Saccharomyces cerevisiae S288C: one gene and its partners. The gene in region 1 interacts genetically with each later gene. Each region holds a gene or a part of one and is shown on either strand. Other genes may lie near its edges.

What was found.
Region 2: mutations in ASI2 (region 1) and SEO1 together harm fitness more than expected from each alone (negative genetic interaction), as found in Saccharomyces cerevisiae (one large-scale study listed by BioGRID).
Region 3: mutations in ASI2 (region 1) and YLR177W together harm fitness more than expected from each alone (negative genetic interaction), as found in Saccharomyces cerevisiae (one large-scale study listed by BioGRID).

Annotation. Positions count from the first base shown.
Region 1 is NC_001146.8:337,862-341,392, forward strand, and holds ASI2 (Asi2p), read right to left. Parts: upstream 1,487-3,531; coding exon 617-1,486; downstream 1-616. Other genes in the region: PGA1 (Pga1p), read left to right, coding at 1,751-2,347; IGO1 (phosphatase regulator), read left to right, coding at 2,491-2,997; NSG2 (Nsg2p), read right to left, coding at 3,208-3,531.
Region 2 is NC_001133.9:6,930-10,690, reverse strand, and holds SEO1 (putative permease SEO1), read left to right. Parts: upstream 1-1,674; coding exon 1,675-3,456; downstream 3,457-3,761.
Region 3 is NC_001144.5:509,351-513,111, forward strand, and holds YLR177W (uncharacterized protein), read left to right. Parts: upstream 1-1,703; coding exon 1,704-3,590; downstream 3,591-3,761. Other genes in the region: RFX1 (Rfx1p), read right to left, coding at 1-882.

The DNA of each region.
Region 1 (3,531 bases):
GCTACATTGACCATAGGTGAATATCTTCCCGGGGTGACACTCCACTGAAGTGGGAAAAAAAGAAAAGTTTTAAAACATTGCTCACCTTAAGTCTCGAAGGTCTAGCATTCACTACCTGTAAGTGTCAAGACCCCACATGTATACATGGATACAATAAAGAAACAATGTCCGTATAATTTGTATACATTTTACTACAGATAAGGGATCTCACCCCCTTCTTTTGTGTCTAAGTGAAATCTTCTGATATATTTAGTGTTTTATAGCGTCCATGTTTTAAACTAGAACGGCAAAATAGTAGTTGTTGTAAACGCTTATTTTCGAGACATCAGGTAAAAAGGATAGTTAAATCTTACAATCAATGCATGTAGTGAGTGGCGTTTATCAATAGTTTTTAACAATTCCCATTTTGAAAGAAGCCCACAACAACCCTAGTAGTTCGTTAATATACGTTATGATGGTCAAGTGTCACAGTACGGAAAGCTTGCAAACAGCTCTTACATAGAGGAGTTGCTTCAAAATAAACGTCCTCTGGTGTCAAGTGTCTCATACAGCGACCACATGCGAAAGAAACTACTACAGATAAGCAAATACACAAATTATAATCGTGGATTCATCATCAGAATACGCCTGGCCCTGTAATCCTTTGGCTCACCAACATTCGATGGACACCTTTATATCTTCTAATAACAGTGAATAATAGACACAATACGAAGAAAAACCCAGCGGTAACCATGTAAACGGTACCACTTACGCCATAAGCTAAATAGATCAGAATGGTAGAGACTTTGACAAATAGCTCGAAAGCTTTAGCGAACATTAGTCTTATCCAATTTAAGTTGGGTTCATTGCCATCTCTACTTTTCATAATATGTTTTATCACAGGTGAAGAGTAAAATACAATGATGTTATGAAACTTTCCAAGCAACCCTAATTTACCAGTATCCTTATATGCTATTAATGTCGTGCCACCAGAACCAAATATCTTGGCAAATTTCCAGTATCCCACGATTTCGATTATAAAATCATTCTCTGAAAAGGTCATTGAATTGAACCCGCTCCTTAATATGTTGTATACGGAAAATGGGAATAAAATTAGCCCAATAAAGTAATCTAAAATGAATAAATTTCTAAGAAAAGTTCTGAGAGGGCTCTGCTGCCTTGCTGTGAATGGGGAATCGGCCGTATTGGCGTTGGTGGCTCTTATAGTGTCTGCATTGATTCCTCCATTTCCGTTTGTGGTTGCATCCATATTAGCTGCTCTATTTATATTTGAAGTAGAACTCATATTCCTCCTAAGGGAGTTAAATATTCCATCGATTGCTTGCTGTACATCCTGCTGTAGTTCTTGCTGAGATTGCTCGGTTACAGGTGAAGGCTCTCTACTATGCCTCGTTTCCGATTCTTCTAGAAATCGCTGAAACAGATAATCATCATTATCGTCTCTTTCTGTCCAATTACTGCGGCGATGATTTTGAGGCCTCGCCATTTTTTCTCACTAAATGCTTGTGAGGATGTATGCGTTTGATTCGGTGTCTCTTTAATCATATTCCCGAATCGACCCTATTTGAAGGTAGAGGGAGTTGTTTCCTCTCACTATTGTTATAAAAGATCATCAATGACGGAAACTAATATGCAATGAAAAAATGAGAAGTTTACATGAATATGAAGATTAACTGCACAGCAATGTTGTTGACCCTTGGTATTCGCACACACTAAGCCAACATAGGTTCGTTCAATTTTTAAAAAGAAGATGGTCCGGCCTCAGAATGTTCACTGGTTTATCGCTACAATTGTATTTTTCATCGGATTTGTACACGCTAATACAGAATCAATCTTATATAAGGTTCCTCACAACTTTCCCCTCAAAAAACCAAGAGACAGCTCTACTTATGCAAGAGATGTAAACTTGATATCTTCCATATCACTATCGGGAGAAGCAATGAGTCAGATCACTATCGAGGCCAATACCACTGACTTGGAGTTGCATAATACTACGTATATTGAACTGGCGGACTTACAGCGAGACGAAACATATCAGATTAAAGTGTGTTGGTCAGCAATACATCCAATTTCCATTAATAATCTCCAAACTATCACAATACCACGTTTCACTGAATTTCAGGGAACTAAGTCAGACTACGCGAGAATACTAGTGACTTTCCAGGTCTTGTCTGACTCGTATCCTAGTGAGCATGCCATGGTTCCAATACAAGTCTCATTAATCACCACTCGGCTAGGTATCCCCGTGGATATTTACCCAACATTAATCGTTATGGTGCTATTAGTAGCAGGGCTTGTTGTTACCCGGGCACCACACGTATTGAACGATCTTTTGCTGAAATTTTAGTATGGAAGCCTGAGCCCCCTTTGGCTGGATAGCTTGGCCTCATCACAACTAGAACGTAAAAAAGTCCATTAACCATCAAATGCTTCTCATTAAAGTGGGTATTTTTATCGAAAGAAAGGGACCTGAATATCTAACTCGCCGCTATGTCGAATGAAAACTTATCTCCCAATAGTAGTAACCCAGATTTAACTAAACTGAATAACGGCGAAAGCGGAACTATTGATACCAGCAAATTCTCGCCCAACGAAATGAAGCTATACAAAATGTACGGAAAGCTGCCATCAAAGAAAGATATTTTTAAGCATACCATGCAGAAAAGAAAATATTTCGACAGTGGTGATTACGCTTTGCAGAAAGCTGGCATTCAAAACAATGATCCAATAAACTATGGAAAGAATAACCTGCCATTAACAAATCCCAGCAAACTACGAGAAGATATAATAAAAAGAAGGATAAGCACTTGTCCGTCAACTGCCTCAACCGCTGGTGTAGTAGATAATGCGACGTTGATACAAAAGGAGGGAAGTATATCGAGTGGACCACCATCGTCTAATAACGGTACTATTGGAGGTGGTAGTACAAGTTCAACGCCAGTGGGGAACCACAGCTCTTCGTCGTCCAGTTTGTATACTGAATCACCCATTAGATAAATAGACAACCTGTACTTTTTTATATTTTTTTAGGGAAAGAGAAGGGTCTCTTATATTTAACGCTTATTATGTGATTTCTCGAAATGTCAAGTGTTACAGCCATATGGCTGACTGTGTTTACGTTAATTAGTTATATATAAACGATAAGCCATTCTGATGTTATCTTCTTGTACTTCTAATTAATAATATTTACTCGTCAGAATTTCGACTTTAATGAGAATATAGATATCTTCCTAGTTTTCCAAACATTAGAGAACCAAGGAAATAAAAATCCATGAAATATAAAAATTGGGAACCGTCGATAATATCTTTGTAGCAAGAGATACAACAACCCACCCCAATGCAGATGCAGCTCATTAACATGGATATTGAGCCGTCAAAAAACAACCACAGTATAATATTCAGAAGCCCCCATGCCCCTGCCGCCTGCAAAGAGGAGTTCCACTGTATTTTCCTGATCCCAAATGTGACTCCCAACATGGCATTGATACTTCTAATAACAGAGGTCAAACTGTCATGGTGGACAGAGCTCTT
Region 2 (3,761 bases), on another chromosome or scaffold:
AACAAAATTGGTAATCACTGTGATCAAATTTAATTAATGGACTTGTGCATATTTTAAAACGCTCGTTAAACTTCGGCTTTCTTGGCAAAAAATCATTTTAAGACTGGCTAATACTAAAGTTGAATATCAAAATTTTGGTTTTTGGGGTGAGTCTGATTTTAGATCCTTTAGAACGCATCTCCAGCTACTAGTTCCACCCAGAATTCCCGAACTATTCCGACAATCAAGAGCTCTTACATATATCAGGCGAAACGGTTATACATAAATTCAAAATTTTTGTACTGTGATTTTCTATATACATGATGTATCGGAAGCTGTATGCTTTTCAAGCATTTTTGTTTGGATTTCTTTAATATATATTTGTACAGGTAATGATAATATGAGTAAAGTAAGCCTGCAAAGAATTCGTAGCCTGTAGAAAAATAAGTTAAAGAGAAAGACAGTAAGCTTTGTAAGCATGAAACCATATGAAATAAAGTGATATAATTTTATGTTTCTGATTTGCACATGGTTCATTTTAACCAATATTAATTGGATTGGAAGAATGTGACGAGTAATTGGTATTGAATGAAGAATACTTCTTTTTACAAGAGATAACATGATGGTGCTTTTGAAATAAAGTTATCCGTATAACGTTATTATATCATGATGTCCGTCATTATGATCAAAAATAGTATATCCGATTCATTCTTCTTTGCAGCCAAGATGCAAAGTATATCGCTAAATTTTACCATGAGCGCAACAGCTGTATATTAATACGCTATTTGCTAATATATCGAACATAAAAATGTTTTAATTACGTTAAAATATGTAAATCCTCTGAGCTTTGATAGCAAATTCTCAGATACTGTCAATTTCTTATCTGAAAAACCATTTGGTTTGACGTTCCTTTCATAACTAAACCAATTACAAAAAGTGCAGAAATGTCATGGATACCATTGGCCTTAGATTTTTTAGAAGAGACTGGTAACCGCGAGTAGAGCAACCAACTCACAATGCATAACTAAGATACAAACTTTATCTATAATATCGAATAGCTTGGTGAGATATTCATCTCATTCAATTCTAATTGGTCAAATATCTACAATGCCGTCTGCTTTATGTCTTTTTCTAAAGGCATCGATTTTATGTGTGGATAATTGCATCGCAGTAATATGTAGAGCACAATTTGTAGAAATCGGAATTGGAGGTATCGGATCTTGTTGAATATCCACCAATGTCTTACCCCTGTATTTTAACAAGAGTTTACGCTGTTATATGGTTAAAGGTGTGGACGCCTTGAAGGTTTACCTTACCGAATGACACCTTTACAATAGTCAGATCACGTTCTGTGGCGTTATCCAAAGTTAGCGCAGTTTTCCGATGGTCCAATGTAATCATTAGAAATAGTAAAAACTGTGTAATGGTAAAGATTGTGTCACTGGAAAAAAACTGCTACAAATAATAAATAAATAAAAAAATACGAAAGCACAGTACTACGGGTGCCTCCACAAATAGATAAGAAACCAAGCGGAGACATGCGTTTAGATGAGGATATAAATTATTTATACAACCAGACTATATAAAAGAGCATCTAGTTTACCTGTTATGATGAATGGACATTCGCTACATATCTTACTCTCTATTTGTTAAAAAAAATTACAAAGAGAACTACTGCATATATAAATAACATACATGTATTCAATTGTTAAAGAGATTATTGTAGATCCTTACAAAAGACTAAAATGGGGTTTTATTCCAGTAAAGCGGCAGGTGGAAGACCTGCCAGATGACTTAAATTCAACAGAAATTGTCACTATCTCCAACAGTATCCAGAGTCATGAAACAGCTGAAAATTTCATCACGACTACAAGTGAAAAAGATCAACTACATTTTGAGACTAGTAGCTATAGTGAACATAAAGACAATGTGAACGTTACTAGAAGTTATGAATATAGAGATGAAGCCGATAGGCCATGGTGGAGATTTTTCGATGAACAAGAGTATCGGATCAATGAAAAGGAAAGATCTCACAATAAATGGTATAGTTGGTTCAAACAGGGTACCTCTTTCAAAGAAAAAAAATTATTAATTAAATTGGATGTCCTTTTAGCCTTTTATTCTTGTATTGCTTATTGGGTGAAATATCTGGATACGGTTAATATAAACAACGCTTACGTTTCGGGAATGAAGGAAGATTTAGGCTTTCAAGGTAATGATTTGGTGCATACTCAAGTAATGTACACAGTTGGTAATATTATATTTCAATTGCCATTTTTGATTTACCTGAACAAGCTCCCATTAAACTATGTTTTACCAAGCCTCGACTTATGTTGGTCGCTTTTAACCGTTGGTGCTGCATATGTCAATTCTGTACCACACTTGAAAGCAATTAGGTTTTTCATTGGGGCTTTTGAAGCGCCAAGTTATTTGGCATACCAATATTTGTTTGGTTCCTTTTACAAACATGATGAAATGGTGCGTCGTTCTGCTTTTTACTATTTGGGCCAGTATATCGGTATTCTATCCGCTGGTGGGATCCAGTCAGCCGTATATTCATCGTTAAATGGTGTAAATGGTTTAGAGGGATGGAGATGGAACTTTATTATTGACGCTATTGTGTCTGTCGTAGTGGGCCTTATTGGATTTTACTCCCTGCCAGGTGACCCATACAACTGTTATTCTATTTTCTTAACTGATGATGAAATTAGGTTGGCGAGGAAAAGATTAAAAGAAAACCAAACAGGTAAAAGTGATTTTGAAACAAAAGTATTCGATATTAAACTGTGGAAAACAATTTTCAGTGATTGGAAAATATACATTTTAACTTTATGGAATATTTTCTGTTGGAATGACAGTAATGTTTCATCTGGGGCATACCTACTATGGTTGAAATCTTTGAAAAGATACTCTATTCCTAAGCTCAATCAGTTATCCATGATTACTCCGGGTTTAGGTATGGTTTATTTGATGCTTACTGGTATTATTGCAGATAAATTACACTCTCGTTGGTTTGCGATTATTTTTACTCAGGTTTTCAATATCATTGGTAACTCCATATTAGCCGCTTGGGACGTCGCAGAAGGAGCCAAATGGTTTGCATTTATGCTGCAATGTTTTGGTTGGGCTATGGCTCCTGTTTTATACTCTTGGCAAAACGATATTTGTCGCCGAGATGCTCAAACTAGAGCTATTACTTTAGTTACAATGAATATTATGGCTCAATCATCTACCGCATGGATAAGTGTTTTGGTTTGGAAAACAGAAGAAGCTCCCAGGTATTTAAAGGGGTTTACTTTCACTGCATGTTCTGCTTTTTGTCTCTCCATTTGGACTTTTGTTGTACTCTACTTCTATAAACGTGATGAAAGGAACAATGCCAAGAAGAACGGTATTGTGCTTTATAACTCTAAACATGGTGTGGAAAAGCCAACGTCAAAAGACGTTGAAACCTTATCAGTATCTGATGAAAAATAATACGAGAATAATTTCTCATCATCCAGCTTTAACACAAAATTCGCACAGTTTTCGTTAAGAGAACTTAACATTTTCTTATGACGTAAATGAAGTTTATATATAAATTTCCTTTTTATTGGATAATATGCCTATGCCGCATAATTTTTATATCTTTCTCCTAACAAAACATTCGCTTGTAAAGTATTATATTTAGGAAAAAAATAATCGATAAAGGCTCATCCGAAGATCAGTTAGATTCTTTTTGCAAGTCCTGAAGAAATTTTCACACTACTACTATAAAAAAAAAATATCATAAAAAGGTACAT
Region 3 (3,761 bases), on another chromosome or scaffold:
TTTACAATTTTTCATTAACCAAAGTAACGCAAACACTTGTCTTTCTCTTTCTCTGTTTTGTTCCGCCAGCTGCAAAGCTGCCTTTGAAGTGTTCTGTGAGTCCATGCTCAGGACTTTGATTTCTGCATGCTTCACGATCTGCGCATACTCCTCGATGGTTTTAGATTTGTTATTTTCTGCAATTTGCTTAGCAATTATTTCTTGCGTGTTTCTCCTTGAAATGGAAGAGATTCGTTTCTCTTGGCTTGTTTTCTGTTTTTTCGTACTGCTTGGAATTGAGGGGAAGGTATTGGTACGTTTGGCAGCAGTAGGAGGATTATTGTTTAAGGTTTCCTCTGACTTGAAAGAAAGTGGGTAAGCAGATGAATTCGATCTATTCAGGCTGATAGACGCTGGATACACTGAGTATGTGGCAGGTTGCCGTTGTGTTGCGGGTTGTGCAGGAGGCTGTGTAGGGGTAGGAGATGGTTTATGGGAGCCGGGACCACTACCGATAAGTGGCGGTAATATTGGATTTGGCGTCTCCGGGCGGGGGGAACTTTGGTGTAGCAGGCTGTATATTGACGATGATTTGCTCGCTATGGGCGGGATATTCACTGACATGGGGGGCAAATAAGTGTGTGATGCTGGCGGTGGTTGGCTGCTGTACTTGGGTGCGTTTAAACTGTACCGATTACTGTTTACCGAAGATCCGTTACTTGGACCGTTGCTATTGTCGTTCGAGCCCCGACTAGTAGGTTCAATGTTATTATCACCGGACATGGGCAAATAAAATTCAAAATAATGAACAGACAAAAAACTAGGCGAGAAGATGAAGTACTTGGCAGGTATTTTTCTAGTGAAAAGGTTTTCTGTTGGTTTGCGTTCTTTGAAGATTACCATTTACTGCTATTTTTTTTTTCAACTTTTTCCCAAATCGCCATGACAACACGAAACGACAGGAGAAAAATTACGAAATCAAAAACAGGTTCAACTGTTGCAGCAATAGACACCACAAACGTGCGCAAGAAACCGCAACGAAGGGGAGGTGACCGTGCTTGAAATAAAATCCGAAGATCCATAGGTGAGCCACGAGTTTGATTCCAAACTCGTGGTTTTACCAACGAAGCTGTATATCGTGGAGTGGCGCTACCATTGGACCTTCGTTTCTTCTTTCCCTCTTCCGCACCGTACCAGATAGGAAAAACCGCACCTTCGTTTTTGCATACCTAGATGGTCCTGTAACAAGAATAGAGCTAAAGAAACAAGTATGCGTCGACTGCTGCCACGCCCGGCTGATTTAGGTGCACATCAGCTACCCAGCATACAAAGGGGCTTCCGTACGGTTGATGGTTATTTTTCTTGGTGTGTTGGTGCTGCTGTATCGCTGGTGCTGTCTGCGTTATTACGACTATCGTAGGACAAGGCCTCGAGAGGTGTAGGGTAAATCCCACTTGCACAAAGTATGTACACACTTGATTATCCAAATACCAAGAGAGTGTGGTTCAATTTACGGGCAGCTCGAGCTGCCCGTAAATTGAACCTTCCCCTTCCCCACGCTCAAGGGGTTCCTGCGCCGGTGTTTCAGGGGCAGGACACGCGGGGATCGCTGGCACAGTATATAAACAATAAAAGAACAATGGAGAGAGGAGGCGCCATTCAATATCAGCTCACTAGAGTGCATAGACGTATAGACACAGGAATAAAGATAGAAATAGGGTACCATGGAGCTGCCTTCAATAAATAGCACCACAAGTATATCCGACAACCAGGAGTTAAGGAATTACTATGACAAGTTGCTGTTCAAGAACAATAGTGGCAAGTCGCTAGCGGATTTGCCAGGAAAAATGGCAGATTTTAACGACAACAGCGCTGCTGCGCATCCCCGCTCCAGAGTTGACTTTATCAACGGTTACATCGGTTTCAGAGAGGATAAGCAGTCTCTTCTGGGGCAGAAGAACACTAAAAGGGCCTCGTTCAGCGCATTTGCGGACGAAGGAAGGAAACAGAGCGAGATGAGCATTAACGGGAAGAGCCCTAATTTGTCTCTTTTCTCATTTGAGTTTAACGGCACCCCGACTCAGGACAGAAAGCCATACAAACAGGATTACTTGAATGTGATGAACACTTCGCCTAACAATATTCTTTCTCCCTTAAACAACAGCTCCCAAAAATACTATCCACAGAAACAGCAGCAGCAGCAGCAGCAGCAGCAGCAGCAACAGCAACAAAGCATCTTTGACCCGGGAAGAAGATCTTCCTATATTTCTGATGCGCTGATTCATGGCAATGCGGCTACCCAGCAACCACAATACTCGCAACCTGTATATATTAACAACAACCCATCTTTGCAAGTACCATACACTGCTCCTTCCGAGTATACTCAGCAGCAACAGTACTCGTCACCCTTCAATGCTAGGCGCAACACCCAGCCAGTGCTGAACTTGCATCCGGCAGCCGCTCCCACAAACGATGCCGGATTGGCGGTTGTCGACGGCAAGAATTTGACGTCATCCAAGGAGCTGCATGACTTATATCTTGACTGCGGGTCAAACTATTTTGCTAGTGATAAAGTTTATAAATTTATTGACAGCATAAAGGGAACTTTACGCGGGGATAATGTCTCCGCCTCCAGTTCCAGGATTATAGAGTTTTTGGATTTTTTGAAAAATTGTAATCTGAATTACAACCCACAGTCTGACGCATTCATCTCCACTGCTGTTTCAAACGCTTCGTCGACCGGGGCGGCCAAATCCAAGAACAGCACTTCAATGCATTTGCACTATAAGCCATTAGTGTTAGTATCGTTGAAAAATGGTAAGCTCGAACTGTTGTCTAAACCACAAACGGCCACACTTATACTGAAAAGGGGCGATTTGGTCATTATTGATGGTGATCGTGGTAAAGATTTAGTTTTGGTGGTGGAACCGGTTGTAGATATAAATTTGGCACTATTTATAAATTTTTTGAAGAAAAAAATTCACTTTGATTCTCTAATCACCAATAGTCAACAGCATTTCCCCAATGACCAGTTTATCAAGACTCTGGTTGATACAACCAATGGTAAGCCGGTCGCTCATGAGTTGAATCCGAAGTTATATGATATCATTGAACTAACGCAATTGATCATCCCATCAAAGCAGGTTCTGAGATTTGCCACCCCGTGGGAATCCTCCACGAATTTACACAACAAATTCCAGGATGAGCTAAAGGCTCTTCACATTGCACAGCTAAAACTGAGGTCGCTAAATAACAATAACTCCGGTGGCGGGTTGAACATCAAAATATTGAATGCAGAGTTCCAATTCGACAGAAAGAAATTGACTTTCTACTACATTTGCCAGGAGCGTAATGATTTCAGAGACCTGATCAAAGAACTCTTTAAGTTTTACAAAACAAGAATTTGGCTTTGTGCTATACCGAACAATTTATCGATAGATTCCAAATTTTATGATTCAAACAAGTTTGAGTGGGAGATGTATCAGGATATGATGTCCCACTATTCCATGGACAACACTGGAATTGTCGTGGCCCCTGAACTGAATCGCTTGAAACTGGACGACTTCCAGATCGGTGTTTATATGGAATTGGTGAAGGTTTTGTTCGGCTAACCCAAACTTATATAATCATTATAAACATTTTATAAACTTATACACTTTTTTAATAATCTCACCATGTTTTTCTTATGTGTTTTGTTTGACAATGACATTACTCCCTACAAACATGTGCGCGTTTGTGACAAAAACATAAATAAAACAAAAATAATAAAAAGTCAAGTGAAA